Mytilus edulis: one gene and its partner. The protein of the gene in region 1 purifies or fractionates together with the protein of each later gene. This does not show direct contact. Links are inferred from orthologs where the notes say so. Each region holds a gene or a part of one and is shown in the gene's direction. Other genes may lie near its edges.

Region 1 (8,015 bases):
TTAGAAAAAGGTAAAAATAACAAAAATACCGGACTCCGAGGAAATGCAAAACGGAAAGGTCGGAATCAAATCCTTACATATCCTTGGATAGATAATCCAAAATGGTCAATTAGTCGAAAAGGCGTCGGTTTAAATTTCGAAGGGACGTCTTCAACGTTGGCACTACACACCGATGATTAAATAATTTCTTTATAAGCAGTCGGCACAAGTATAGTATTATGTTCGGAGATGCAAGTTCTTGAATAACAAAGCTCGGAGTTATACAGGCGCTGATGAAATGTTGCTGTATTGGGGAAAAAAATCATTAGGAAGCTAAAATCCCCCCTTTTGTCCTGAAGATTTGTTCTCAACTGACCTCGTTGTAGATTTCTAAATGTAATTAAAGATATGAGGCAGACTGAGTTTATATGGTATTCTTTATTTCAATTTCGATGGTACCGCATTCAAGTGCTTCTGTTGTTCCGTTGTTTCCTCTCATAGTTGATGCATTTCCCTCGTTTAAAACCCGGATTTGCTTTCTATCGATCGATTTATGTATTGAACAGCGGTTTATTACTGTATTATGTTTCCTTTTATGTATCGATGCATCCAACATAGGTATCAAACTTTGAGTTTTTAATTAGAAGACATCATGCAAAAAGTGAAGTAAAGGAATAATCTTAGCTCCTTTTTTCTATTCTTTCTATGAAGCTCGTGTATAAAGTCTGCTTCATATCAATTACACAAGTGGGCAAAAAACGAACACAGTTGGTTATCATACTGTCTTAAACTTCTATTATCAATATTGAAGTTTGGTATGGCAAAAGTGTACAGGGTACAGAAGTCAAATGTACTCCTTGGAGTCCGGTACATAAATAAGGCCGTTAGTTTTCTCGTTTGAGTTGTTTTACATTGTCATTTCGGGGCCTCCTATAGCTGACTATGCGGTATGGACTTTGCTCATTGTTGAAGGCCATACGGTGACCTATAGTTGTTAATTTCTGTGTCATTTTGGTTTCTTGTAGAGAGTTGTCTCATTGGCAATCATACCACATCTTTTTTATATCCTATAGATCTTGGAATTAGTATCAGCTTCTGATTGACACCTTCCCAGGGAGATGGTAGTTTCATAGTAATTTTAAAATCTGTCTTTAATTGATAAGTAAATTGATGTTGATAGTTTTGAAAGAGGTTTTGTGAAACAATTGGCAGATCAACAAATGTGACGTTGTATGAAGGACATGCATTTAATTTTGGCGTCCAGTATAGTGAAGGAGGATCCAGTTCTAGTACTATACAGTTGCGTTACCAAATATAGGTTGAGTCTGACAGTGAACACTGTTGTGACAATACATATATTGTAATCAAACAAGTGTTTTTTGTTTCGTCTCCATAACTCTGTTCCTTGTCCTTGACTCAGTATAAGGAGAACTTTTCATTTCTGAAAAAGATTGGCTGTAAAATTATCGAAAGCTAGGATTCATTAATGTTTTGGCTTTTTTCCCTTGGTTCATTGACCAACGGAACTTTCTCTATATGTAGTAAGACCTTGGTCCCATATATGTTCAGTGTTTAGTAATAATCAGTTCATTGGACATTTTCACATGTCATCTTTTTCCATTTTTTTTTTATTATCAGCTTTTTAATTTTGAACTTTCCGTTTCTATATTGCATGCCTGCAATAGGATAATTATCTCCCTGTTGAAACGATATTCCAGAGCTTTCATTTCTTAATATGATTTGTTTGATGGAGGATTGCTGTTAACCGATGGTCCCAAGTCAAGTGGTGAAGTTGAAGTTGAAGTATCTCATTGACAATTTCTAGGAAGCCATGACCAGTCGATTGGTTGTTATTGAAAAAAATTTTGTCTCTCTCTTGGCATACTTACAGTTTCCTTTGTTTGACAACACCTTCCTCAATTTAAAGTTGTATCGATAAGAGACTTAGTATGGCGTTCATTATCACTGGACTAGTATATATTTGTTGATTAACAGCTGAAGGACGCCTCCGGTGCGGGAATTTCTCGCTACATTGAAGACCTGTTGGTGACCCTCTGCTGTTGTTTTTTATTTGATCGGGTTGATGTCTCTTTGACACATTCCCCATTTCCATTCTCAATTTTATTATTTCTTTTTGACTTGGCCAAAACTTTTCAAGCGAATGTGAATGGATCTGCACCTTGCTTAACAAAATTATGTCGTAGCCTTGGTCGAGTATTTTAGAGATGGAGACACGAGTTCAATAACAAAATTGAAATTTATTTATTTCGGAGAAAATGTGTTGCGTTACAATATTGGTATCAGTAGTTGCAGATTTAGTGAAAATTATCATGGTTAAATGTTAAGAAATGTATATATTCTATCAATATGTTGAACGTTGAATCGTTGTGACACTAAATGGTCCACCTTCCTACGACAAAAACACTCTTTCAATGCTTAATTTCACAACTAGTTAATAAATAAAAAGTGCATACTACTTTATTGCAGATAATTCGATATCACCAATAAGTTGTTATATCAATGGAAGTTAACCGGGTTCAATACGGCTTTGGTACATGTTTATCGTCGAAAATCGTACGTTTTTCAACTTGTGGTAATGGATTGCTGTCTTGTCTCATTTCTATTTATTTGTCTTTACTCTATGCAATTACAGCACGATCTACTTGGATAACCTACATAGACCATTACCATCGACGATTCCTTTTAAGTTGCCTTCTGGTTTGTTGAATGCATGACACTTTTCTTTACCGCAAACTGCTATGGTGTACAATTTTTTGCTAATGAAACCCTACAACATAATCATTTCAGAGACTGATCTATTTGTTGCTATACACTTTTTCTAGACTTTGAAACTTATTTTGTTTCTGTAAAGTTAACAAAATATGGTACCCGTTGTGTGTAATCAATTCTTTAACTGTTTTCATCCCAGCTCTCTGAAACTGCAACAAGAGATTCCTAACATACTGAATATGTGCACCTGCAATGTGCATTCATTTGAGCTTTTTATCCAACCTTCGGAAATTGGATACGACTTGAATCCATTATCTTTCAAAGTTTTAGAAAAACACTAAGGACAATGGTAACAATGTTTGATTAAATCAACTTCATGGAAAGTGGTCATCTTTCACTACAGAAAAATCTTTGTCGGTTTGGACGGTTCAAAACCGGCTTTAGGTATGGTGATTTTTCGTGGTCTGTGGAAAGTATGTATCCAATTTGTGAAATCAAATCCTACAGCAATCAACCTATATATTCTTAAATGTGCACCTGCTATTATATTACTCTAATATATTGTTTGAGTAATGTTGTATCTCGTTTTTACACATTGGGAACTTTGACTTTTTCTGTAAAAATTACAGAAGACGGTTCAAGTTTAGTGTAATAAACTCCTATATAAAGGCAACAGTAGTATACCGCTAGTGTCCAATTCAAATTTCTAAAACTTCACAGGGAGATTATTTATATTTTGCAGGGTTCATCTGATATTATAGAATTGTTTGAGTAAATTATCTCATTTGACCAGCTTTTTTCAGCAATATTAATAAAAGAGGGTATATTTTTTGTGTAATCACCCGCTGCTACAGTTTTCAGCCCAGTTCACTGAAACATCTCCGGACGTTCATATGTGTTGGAAGTTGTACACCTGCAATAATGGAATTGTTTGAGTATTATTTTACTCATCATCCAGACTTTTTTAGAAAAAATTATGAAAAAGGAATAAGTTTTGTGTGTTATCAACTATAGTTTTCAATCCAAATCCTTGCATCTTTACAGGAAGATGGCACATATGTTGAAGGTGTGCACCTGATTTTACGGAATCGTCCGAGTGATTTTTCTCATTATTCCAGTAATTTTTTCAGGAAAAAATAAGTCACAAAAATATAGCAACCTTGTCATTTTACTTTTGTTCTTTTTACATTTTATGTAATATTGTTTTCATATATTTAAAAGAACAACTTAAGAATCATTCCTGGCAAAATGGCAAACCGGCAAAAATTTTTTAATCTTTGATTCATTTTAAAACTTAAGAGAAATTGAATTTTCGGAAGCCTCGATACAATTTACTTATCTTTTTTTCTCATTAGACTGAGATTTTGGGTTGTTGTCTCTCTTACGTTCATGTTGCATCTCCCTAAATCATATAACATTTTACATGCTTAAAACTTGTACCTTGATTTCAGTAGTGTTGAATTATTATTTAGTTATCCACTCTCTTTTACAGAAGCAAAAATCAGTTAGAAAGTGTTGAACATTTCTACCTTGCTTCAGTTGATTTTGGTTATCTTTTTTGTTTTCACTTGTGCTTTACCTTAATTTTCTTACAATTCCCATGTCCATAAAGAGCAAATATTTTAATAGCAAATAAAATAATTCACGTATTTACATTTGGAGATTTTCGTACAAGACCACTTCAGTTTTATACGGTCTTTTATAATCAATCTCTACAAAAACTAAGGGTTTGTTGTTTTCACGAGGTATTTAAAGATACGTCAGCGTGACAGCCCGCCCAGGTTGTACGGCAATACGACGTGTAATTTATTAGCATCTGTCATTTTAATTACATTAGTTTTAATGTAATATAGAAGGTCTCTGAATTAATTCGTAATATTGAACTAGAAGATCAACTGTAACACATTAGACAATTACACAATAGTTGATATGATTTGTAAAATTAAAAATAAAAATTCTGCCTTTTCATAAGAAATCTATTTGCTTTATATATCCGGTGGGCTTGATAATCACGATAATTCAGTAAGCAAAGATTTAGTTCATTAAACTACAAGTTTCTCTTTGTGTGACAAACTCACTGGCTTGTGACATTTGTAGTCGGTCTTACACAGCAATTAAGTACGGGATTCCTTCAGAAAATATGCCGTTTATTTAACGCTGTGGTAGTTCTCGCATCTTGTGTGGTCCGCGCACTGTGGTGAACTGTTGCTTAGCAACTAATGTAAGCTGCTGTTACTTGAGCAATCCTATTTAAATCTGGCCAATCCGATAACAGACAAACACGATATCATCTTGTCAGTCATTACGAGGAGGCGGAGCTTAACGCAAAATCGGGAGTCTTGAAGTTCGCAAAGAATGATATCGGATGTATGGAGCTTACAGTGTTTTGTTTGGATTTTATCTTCTATGAGGACTTCAGAATTATGAAGAAATTTTCTGATATAAAGATGTACTTACATGCATTTCAAACTGTGTGATAATAACATCGATGTTAATTAATAGTGTATAAACCGAACAACATTCCACGTGGGTTCGAATAGCATTCAAATGACATAGTTTATTTTGTGAATTCCCCCTTCAAAAACGGGAAATCATGAGTATTCGAAGGAGGGGCACTAATTCACAAATTGATGAGGATTTGTTAACGAGGACTAGTTTTGTGGATGCCAGGATAGCGTATAAACAAGTCAAAAAGGTATGTGAAGCGAGGCATCTCCATGACCTCATTTCTATCACAACTCTCTGTGAGTTCTTTTTCTGTAATAACATAACATGTTGTGTAGTTCATTAGTGGAGAAAAATTACATTTGTTAGAAGAAATTCCATGTATATTAAAACATTGTGAATTGATGTGTGTTTTAGCCTTAGGGTAATGTCATCTATTACAACATCACATAATAATGAAGTTAGATTTATCCATACTTTTTAGCATATTTTTTTGATGGCAAATAAGTCTAAGTTCCAGAATTTTAACTGTTATCTCATATGCATGTATGGTCCATATTTGTATGACAGAAAAATGCTTATCTTCATCCACTTTCAATATGTTTTTGTTTTCCCAATAGTTATAATTTGACCATCAATAAAGTGTACGTCTACATTTTCTTTTTGTATTTGCAGGGTAAAGCAGATGGGAATAAATGTGCGTTGTGGGTACGATGGCATCTGCAAAATTATATGTTCAGTATTGGTTGTTTCATACAATTACATTGTGGGAAAGTTTTGTTTATGGGATTACTATTGTTGTCGTTGTGTTGCATCGGATTCAAACTGGTCAAATTTGAAACTGATGTTGAAGCTCTTTGGGTAGAAGGTAAGTAATCGTGTTAAATGTGTATTTTCATCTTTATACATTCGTTAGGTATAATGTGAGGCAGTATATTCATTCACAAACAGCGCTTGAATTGATAAAAGCAAGTAAGCCGCCATCTTGTTTTGTGACCTAGAAATTTGATCTTGACTGTGTGTGGTCTCGTCTGTTATATTAGGAACGCTGAAATCATCAGAGATTGTTGACGGTTATAGTCGAACAATCGCACACTCACTGGTCATAAGTTTGATTATTCCCGCTCATTAAAGTCATTAGATTGGTTGTGATAAAATCGATAAACAAAGGACGTGATTACATCTACCTTGCAAATTATCAATATTCTCTAAACTGACTTTGGAGCATTTGTGTAATATCAGATTGGCACTCCTTTTTCAACAAGATTTGGTAACAAAAAAGTCAAATATTAATTACAAAAATAACAATAGTGCATTATCAGTTCATCTTAATCAGATATTTTGGTAACGAGATTACCGTTTTCTTGGGAGGTCTTCTGCATACGGGTTCTTAAGGCAAACCTCTAACCAAAGCAATTTTTCATGGGAAAACTGTACATCTAATTTTTGTATGCTTTAAACTTTATATTCTTACAATTTTTTTTTCTTGATTGAGCAATTTTAAAGTAATATCTGGAAATATAAAGAAAAATCTGAATGATATATTTACGTCACCTTTAGGGTCATACGTACTTTACTTAATAAAGTCCGAGATAGTGGTATGCTGAGAAAACAACTGGCTGTTTTAGAAAAGTTTTAAACAAATGCAGTTGGAAAGAAACTTTAATGTCATTCAGTATATTAAATTCCTGGTGGTCTATCACACATGGTTAAGAACATTTTAAGAGAATCTAAAAGGTAGTTTTATTTTTGTGTGTTTTATTCAATAGGGAAGAAGGACTGTCATTACCTTTTCAGTCTAAAACTGGTTTTGTTGTAAAACATTTAACAGCATGCAAAGAAAGATTTTTTGCTGATAGTAATATTTTACAACTGTTTTATGTTGAACACATCTTTCTAGTTAATAATAAAATCATAAAGCCAAAAGCATATAATAATTATATAGTAGTATACTTTGTAAACAACATATCCAGTGCATTATTTAGTGTTATACACAAAGTCTGTTCTTGCAATCTTTTTGATTAAAGTTTTGATGGCTTGGGCATGTGTGAGATATAAATTCTGCTTCAGTTGGAATACAAATATTTTTGTGTTATCATCTACAAATGAATTTTACACCAGAAATCAGAAATAACTTCAGAATTTCTTACATAATGTATCATCTGCAATAAAATTTCTGAATTAAAGCATATATTTTATTACGTTGGCTCATAGAGGAGTAGGTAAGAATTGTATGGTTTGAATGTTACATTTTATCAAAGGTATATTAATTATTTTAATTTACTCCAGGTTTCATTTATTTAATTAACTTTTTTTATTTTGCTAATAATTTGGGCGGATTAATTTAGCATGAATCCTTATTAGGTTTATATTGAAGTGTTTTTGTACTTCATTGTAGCTTTTTGTTATATGTATATGTAAATTGTAAATCTCATATTGAAAAGACATGAAATATTTGCTTCTAGACATTAATCCACCAACGATCAATCAATTAAAATGGAGATCAACCAGAAATTGGGGACATCTTTGAGCCAAAAATTTTAAATGTATGAATAAAAGAGTTTCTGTTGTGGTTTTGCATTTCCAGATTTGTTTTTTCTATCTCCCCTGTCAAGATCAGATAAAAAAGTGAAAGAAGGTTTTAAGATCATCTGAAGTGATATAAATAGTGAATGTTGTTTGACCTGGATTCCACTGATAATTTGACAATTTTAATTTGTGTGCTAGTATTTCACATGATGGAGGTTTTTTATGGCTGAATGAATCAAATACTTTGTATTCTACCTAGGTCATTGATAGTGTGACCAACTTTTGATAATGAATACCAATTTTCTTTCCAAGGGATGAAATCTTAACTTTAA
Region 2 (7,529 bases), on another chromosome or scaffold:
CAATACAGAAATACCTACCTGTAGGAATAAAAGAGGAGTTTGATATTAACTAGTTCTGCAGGTCTTGAAAATATTTTTTTATCCGTACAGATCGGAATCATGCTTAAACTTAAACAGTCCGTTTATAAAGAGTAAACAATAGCAAACCAAAAGTAAAGATTGGTGGCCTTCAGCTGTTGTCTAGCTGCTCTATGGTCGGGTTGTTGTCGCTTTGACACATTCCCCATTTCCATTCTCAATTTTATTTCTTGCTTTATAAGTATGAAATACTTAGATTATACAATCAAGTACTGTTCAATTTATTTCAAAAGATTGTTTCTACATATCTCATTAAATAGATGTCTTTATAACTTCTTGATTTGACTGATTGATGTTTAACGACAATTTAAACACTTTTGTGCTACTTCTTGGCGGTCAGTTTTTCTTTGGTGGAAGAAACCAGAGTGCCCGAAACTCCTAATCAATTTAGATTATAGTCGAATGCCACTAGGCCACCGAAGCCCCCTATTCATTTTTTTATGAAAACATAAACTTGCTTAAAAATCATATCTTAAACATCTTCAATCCATGTTAGGTTCGGCTAAAGCGATTTTCACTGTATATGGTATGTCGAACGTAACTAATTTTTAACGACAAGAATATGTTATTCTATAGTTTGAAAAATTGATAATGATGACATAAAAATCATATTGTTTTCAACATTTAGACTATAATATCGCACCTGAACATGTGTTTTCAGACAGAAATCGACAACAACAAAATAAAGACCACACAACATGGCACAATGAAAATTGATGGGGAAAATCTATTGAATCATATACAGTAAATTAAATCATGAAAATGATATTTACCAGCTAATGCCTCGTTTAACATCAATTTTACGGTATATTATTTCTTGACAACTCCGACTGCATTAGCAATGCATTAAAGGCAGTGTACACGGTAGAGATTTATTTACAATTGCACATTCACTAAGTTAACACGATTATTAATAGCCTTTTAATTAATTTAATCAGTTTGGTGCACCACCTTTATTGACTGAAATATCACACAAGAGATTCGTTTAACAATTATATAAAATTAATCTATTTTTGATTCGGATTTTTTTACTAGCACGACGTCAATAAATACTTATCTTGGAATGTTTTAAAGTGGGGTACATATCATTTGTCAAATTTGCTAACACTGATTCAAAAAGCGAATAGGAGGGAGCAAAAAGTAAAATAATAAAAATACCGAACTACGAGGAAAATTCTTATAGGAAAGACCATAAGCAAATGGCAAAGCACAAACACATCAAACCAAGAGATAACAACTGTCGTATTCCTGACTTGGTACAGGATTTTCGAATGTAGAGAATGGTGGATTATACCCCGGTTTTATCGCTAGCTAAACCTGTCACTTGTATAACGTGACATAAAAAAGGCCGTTAGTTTTCTCGTTTGAATTGTTTTACATTGCTATTTTGGGGCTTTTTATAGCTGACTATGCGATATGAGCTTTGTTCATTGTTGAAAGCCGTACGGTGACCTATAGTTGTTAATTTCTGTGTCAATTTGGTCTCTTGTGGACAGTTGTCTCATTGGCAATCATACCACATCTTCTTTTTTATACATAAAATTTATGCAAGCCATATTAAAGTGAACCACTGCTGGTCAATACTAGAAGCACAGGGTCGAAGATGTAATTAAGCAACGGGAGAATTAGAGGTATAACATGGAAAAAAATACCGTCACGAAGTAAACATTACCGAAAAAGTGTTCATAGAACAAACATATACGATTGTATGGGAACCGTTGCGTGCTAAGTTTCAATCGTGTGAATAGATTTTAAACTTTAAAAAAATAATTTGAATTAAATCCAAAAGTTTTTGATAAATAGGAGTGTTCATTTTTCAGTAGTATGCAAAAATCCTAAAAGGTATTGATAATCAGATATAATTGAATGCTAGAGACAGATCATGTTCAACCATGTTAACCACAAATCATTTGAAGATATCAAAGATTTCAATCACTTGAAATGTGTATCTGTGCCTTATTTTAATAATTACCTAAAGTTTTTATTACGTTTCATGCTTTTTTCCAATGATAGGATAAATGTTTTTTTTACATTATAATCTATATAGCTATAGATACTGTTGCAATTTTGCAGATATTTGGAATTTGTTTGCTTTCAGTTTATGATATACTTATATATAGTAGTTTTATAATAAAATTAGTGTAATTAGTCGTCGAGCTACAGCTTTCAACAAGATATTTAACAATTTGCTTCGTAACTTCTTATTTGACCATGAAACAATTTCATGATTATCGATACCAAGTACATATACGTTAGACGTCTTAATACCGAAACAAGGTTAAGACGAAAATGACCCGCTTTTAACCTGTTAGGCTCAAAATTGTTTTTGTCACCCACGTGACAGTAATTGAGGGTAATAATGGAATTACATGCTGTGACTTATCAAATCATTGTCTATCAAAGATGGAGTTGCAACGTAGTGATTGACATTAGTAGTTGACATTGTAACTTAACATGTGGTACAATTGGAATTTTATCATATTATGGTATTTAAATGCTGACTTTATACATTGTATGAGATCATCTGAAAACAAAGAATTTGTCACCTACGGTCACCTAGACATATCTTCTATTCTACACTTGAAGTCTTAGTCATAATCAATACTCTATCTGATTGTGAATTATTTATTTTCAATGATATATATGAAGCATGTTCTGACTTTAGTCACATTTACCACACTTTTCTTAAATTGTCCGTTGATAACTTAAGAAGACATTAAAAAAAACGAAGATTCTTGCTCCCTCGGACAAATTTTACCTTTTAAGGATTTGAATTCTCTTAATTGTCTCATTTTGGTTACAAAGCTCTTTCAATAATCAGCTTTAAATACATCTTTGGTTTTCAAAGTCAGGGATATGAGCTTTCCCTGATGAGGATAAAGTCAGAAACACAAGAATTTTTGAAGAGTTATTTTTATTTTTGAATTGTACAATTTGACTTCAGAGTTGTCTACCTTTAACTAGTAAGAAAAACAAATGATCAGTTAAATAAAGTCATATACTAGTAGTCAAATTACTTAACCTTAAGTAGATTGATCTTAGTGACATTGATAGATTTTATGGTCAAGGTACAATAAATTGGCCAGTCACAGATTTAGATATGTGTTTGCATAAGTTTACACATACTTTGTATTTGTCAATATTTTTTTTTAATTTGGTCCTCAATGCTCAACTTCGTACTTTTTTTGGCCTTTTTAACTTTTTGTTATTGGGGTGTCACTGATGAGTCTTTTGTAGACGAAACGCACGTCTAGCGCAAATACTAAATTTCAATCCGGGAATCTATGATGAGTATATTTAAGGCCTTTCTATACAAATCATTCAGGAATATTTGTATAAATAAAAGAGATAAATGCATTATTGTTTTCGAATTTAATTGTAGTTCAACTGGCCAAAGTTGAATGCAAAATTTGACCAGAATCTGTGACATGGTTCCTTTCCTGAAACAATGTAGCACTGTCAGCCAGAAAAGCTGGAACTGCTGTTCTCTATTGACATACCTTAGATATACCCGTCTTATATTGGGTTTGTCCTGTTCAATCTTTTGTTTTTATGTGGTGCTTTCTTTTGGCAACTACTTTTTTCATCTTTCATAGACTCAGCTTTTTTATATGTATTTTATTGTCTTCTCCCTTTTGTATGTCCTTCTTTCACTCCGCAAGTTGTACAGGTTTTCGCTGAAGTTTAAATTGTATCTTTGTCTTTTTGTTATCCAGAATTCAACAAAACTGTATGATTGAAGTAGAAGGTATCAATCATACATTCCATTGCAAAATACCCTTTTGTAAAAAGTAAAATAACAAATATACCGACCTCCAAACAAAATTCCAATCGGAATGTCCTTTTTAAAGTGGCAAAATCAAACACATACAAAGACTGGAAAACAACTGTTATACTTTTCTTATCCATTATCAGCAGAAATATCTCCTTTTTTATCAGACCTAGAGAAACTGGAATGATATTTTATAAATTTAGTATGACTGACTCTACAATTCATATGCATACAACTATTTTCTTTAATGTCGATTTTTGAAAACTTTGTTGCTCTTTCTTGCAGGATTATACTTTTTAAAGAAAATAAATACAGGGAATAAAAGAGATAAGTCATATATTTATATTCGGTTAAGGATTTAAAAAGTATTAAAAAAAAAAAAAAAATTCCGAGGAAATTGCACATAGGAAAGTCCCTCATCAAATGGCAAAATCAAAAGCTCAACCACATCAAACGAATGTATAACAACTGCCATATTTCTGACTTTAATCCACCCCCCCCCCCCCTTAAAGATCAAATACAATAATTTTGACATCCTTGGTGTTCTGTTGAGGTCATCTTAAGTTTCTGTAGAGTGTAAACAGTAGCGTGATCAGTGTAATCTATCTGTATCTTTCCGTTCGCACTTTACGTAAGGCTATACCTGTCAATTGAAACATTTACCTTTATATTACTTGATTTTGTACGGACTGGATTGTAATATTTTCATTAAAGTAAGTTGATTTTTTATTAGGATATTTTTTTTAAACATTGTTTACAAAAATAAATCGTTCAAATTGTGGAAACAAAAAGAATATCCAATGTATTTCTCTTTTCTCAGTAGCATATTTTTTTTTTAAATTGATGGAAATTATTTCTATGATGATTGGCATAATATTTTCAAGAAAAATAAATTGGAAACACAGAAAAGAATAATCAAAGATACCAGGTTTATAATTTTGTAATTCATACATCAAAGATACCAAGTTTATAATTTTGTAATTCATACATCAAAGATACCAGGTTTATAATTTTGTAATTTATACATCAAATACCAAGTTTATAATTTTGTAATTCATACATCAAAGATACCAGGTTTATAATTTTGTAATTCATACATAAAAAAACCAGGCTAATAATTTTGTAATTTATACGAGCTTGTTTTCTACTACAGACTTTTCAGTGGCGCTCGCATTAAAACAAATGGTAGGCCATATATAATACGGAGATTTAGAGCTTTTAATATATGGAATTCCGAAACGTTATGCCAAATACAGCTTACACAATCTACCTGGTGGTAAAACAACCTTAGTGTTTGGAATAGTTCAACAATGAATACATTGATATAGGAAGATGTGATGTGAGTGTCAATGAGACAACTCTCCATCCAAATAACAATTTATAAAAGTAATAAATTATAGGTCAATGTACGGCCTTCAACACGGAGCCTTGGCTTACACCGAACAACAAGCTATAAAGGGCCCCAACATTACTAGTGAATTGTACATTGTACATTTACAAAAAAATGAACACTTCAATGGTGTTTCATGTCAACAAAAACATGGTGACTTCTGGGTTTGTGATTATCTCAGATACAAAACGTCCACACCTTCATGGATACCAATAATCACCCGTCAAAAGCCTATGAAATATGGTTTCTCGTTGATGAAGACCATACGTTGCCTATACTATAAATGCTTACATCCACTTCATTTGAATTGTCGTGGGTAGTTATCTAATTGGCAATCAAGCAACTCCTCCTTTTTTATGCAAACAAGTTATGATTTAAAAACAAATTGATAAAAAGATAGTTCTAGATCATAGTGTTATTCGATATAAAATTGTTCATTCTAGCTTCGTGGAACTATTTGGTTGAACCAAGCGCGATAACTCAATAGCATATAATTGATGGATATTCTGATGATGTATTTGAATTTGGACAGTATTTTAAGTTCATTTGGTTTCTTTAACAGTAAATGATAAACCTAACAATCGTGTTCCGGAGCACCTGAGATCACCCCCTTTAGTTGGTGGGGTTCGTGCCGCTAAGTCCTTAGTTTTCTATGGTGTGTCTTGTGTACTTATACTTGTCTGTTTGTCTTTTTCTTTTTTAGCCATTGCGTTATCAGTTTATTTTCGATCTATGTGTTTGACTGTCCCTCTGGTATCTTTCTCCCCTCTTCTGTAATAGTTTGTCGGTTCCAATCTTACAATTTTATATTTATCTCGTTAGCTTTAAAGGCAGTTGTTTAAATTTAAGTCAGAATGATACAGAGAAATATAATGTTAAATCTTATTCCATCAATAACAGTTGTATTGTTTTGCGGTATTAATTATTTTGTTAAGGTTCTACTATTTCCACGACTTTTTTTGAATGAAAGTATTGCAAATGCAACATCTTGATTGCCAGGTATGAATTACATTTTTAGATTAAAATGAAATATAAGTATGTAATGATTCACCCTTTCATGTGCGATTCAGTAACTACCTAAGTAGCATACCTAATCATATTGTTACACAACTGTTCCGCATTGACGTCCACTTAATGTCATTAATGATAAATTACTATAAATTATTTCAGGGTATTGTATGGTATATCAAACTTAAATTTAGAAGTTAAGGATTCGCGACGTTACATTAATACTAGTAATAGAGTCGCACAAAAGCCACTTCTTAGCATATTTTGAAGACCGTACGTTACCCTATAATTGCTTAATTTTACAAATTATGACTGGGATGGAGATTTGTCATATTGGCACTCATACCACATCTTCTTATATATATTTAAGTAGGAATTCAATAATTTCTGCATATTAAATTGGGTTTTGAACCGGTAAATATACAGCAGCTGCCCGAACCGACAAATTTATTTAGTACAGTGCTTTGTTTTGCATTGTGAAACTAACTTATTAATACTTAATATGTTTCTTTACCTATAATGCTCTACCCATTTCTTAAGCTGATATTTTGCTTTTTTTTGTACATGCATATGTTGCATACTATGTTCGGAAGATTGGACTGTATGAATCCATTAATGCAAGTCATAAACTCAACCATACTTCTCTTCTATCCAATTCATAAATCGATGCCACTGCTGGAGGACATAAGGTTCATCCCGAGGAAATCACTCGCGCATAAGTATCAATGCTTCTAATAAAACTTTGAATCAAATTCGAAACACTGAGGTTTTTCTACCCTCAGACGTAGATGATCTATCCGTATTTGGTACATATTTTTTGTTTTTTATATTCTTCAACTTCGTGTTGTATTGAGCCTTCCAACTTTTTTTTAATTCTAGCGCCAATAAAATGTCGTCGTATCGGTATGTAAACAAAACGTACGTCTGGTAATGAGTTTTTTTTTTTTTAGATAAATCTTAATAGAAAAAAATGACATACTTTCTAGGTAGGTTGCTACACGATATCCGCTAATATATGGTATGGTTATTGCAGTGTCTTTGTGTTTTGCTGTTTTTAAGGTTGAATTTAAAGTTCGCGCTGTTTTTAAGGTTGAATTAAACTTCGTTTTTAAGTAAATTATTGCTTATATTTTATTATTATCAAAGAATGCGACGTATGTAACTTCTTTTAACTTATAAAAAAAGACTTTTTTATAAACAGATTTTTTTTTAAAACCAATGATGAATGACAACAATTTGCTTACAAAATTTATGGATATTCATGTATGTTATTGTGTTATT

The links. The genes of interacting proteins can lie anywhere in the genome.
Region 2: the proteins of protein patched homolog 1-like (region 1) and sonic hedgehog protein-like purify together in Drosophila melanogaster (affinity purification with western blotting; 3 studies listed by BioGRID). This does not show direct contact. The link is inferred for Mytilus edulis from reciprocal best matches to the Drosophila melanogaster genes ptc and hh.

Annotation. Positions count from the first base shown.
Region 1 is NC_092344.1:121,132,137-121,140,151, reverse strand, and holds the start of protein patched homolog 1-like, read left to right. Parts: upstream 1-5,010; 5' UTR 5,011-5,302; coding exon 5,303-5,404; intron 5,405-5,829; coding exon 5,830-6,022; intron 6,023-8,015. UniProt on the Drosophila melanogaster protein: Segmentation polarity protein. Acts as a receptor for the hedgehog protein (hh). Associates with the smoothened protein (SMO) to transduce the hedgehog signal leading to the activation of wingless, decapentaplegic and patched itself.
Region 2 is NC_092345.1:55,468,409-55,475,937, reverse strand, and holds the start of sonic hedgehog protein-like, read left to right. Parts: upstream 1-4,511; 5' UTR 4,512-4,563; intron 4,564-7,529.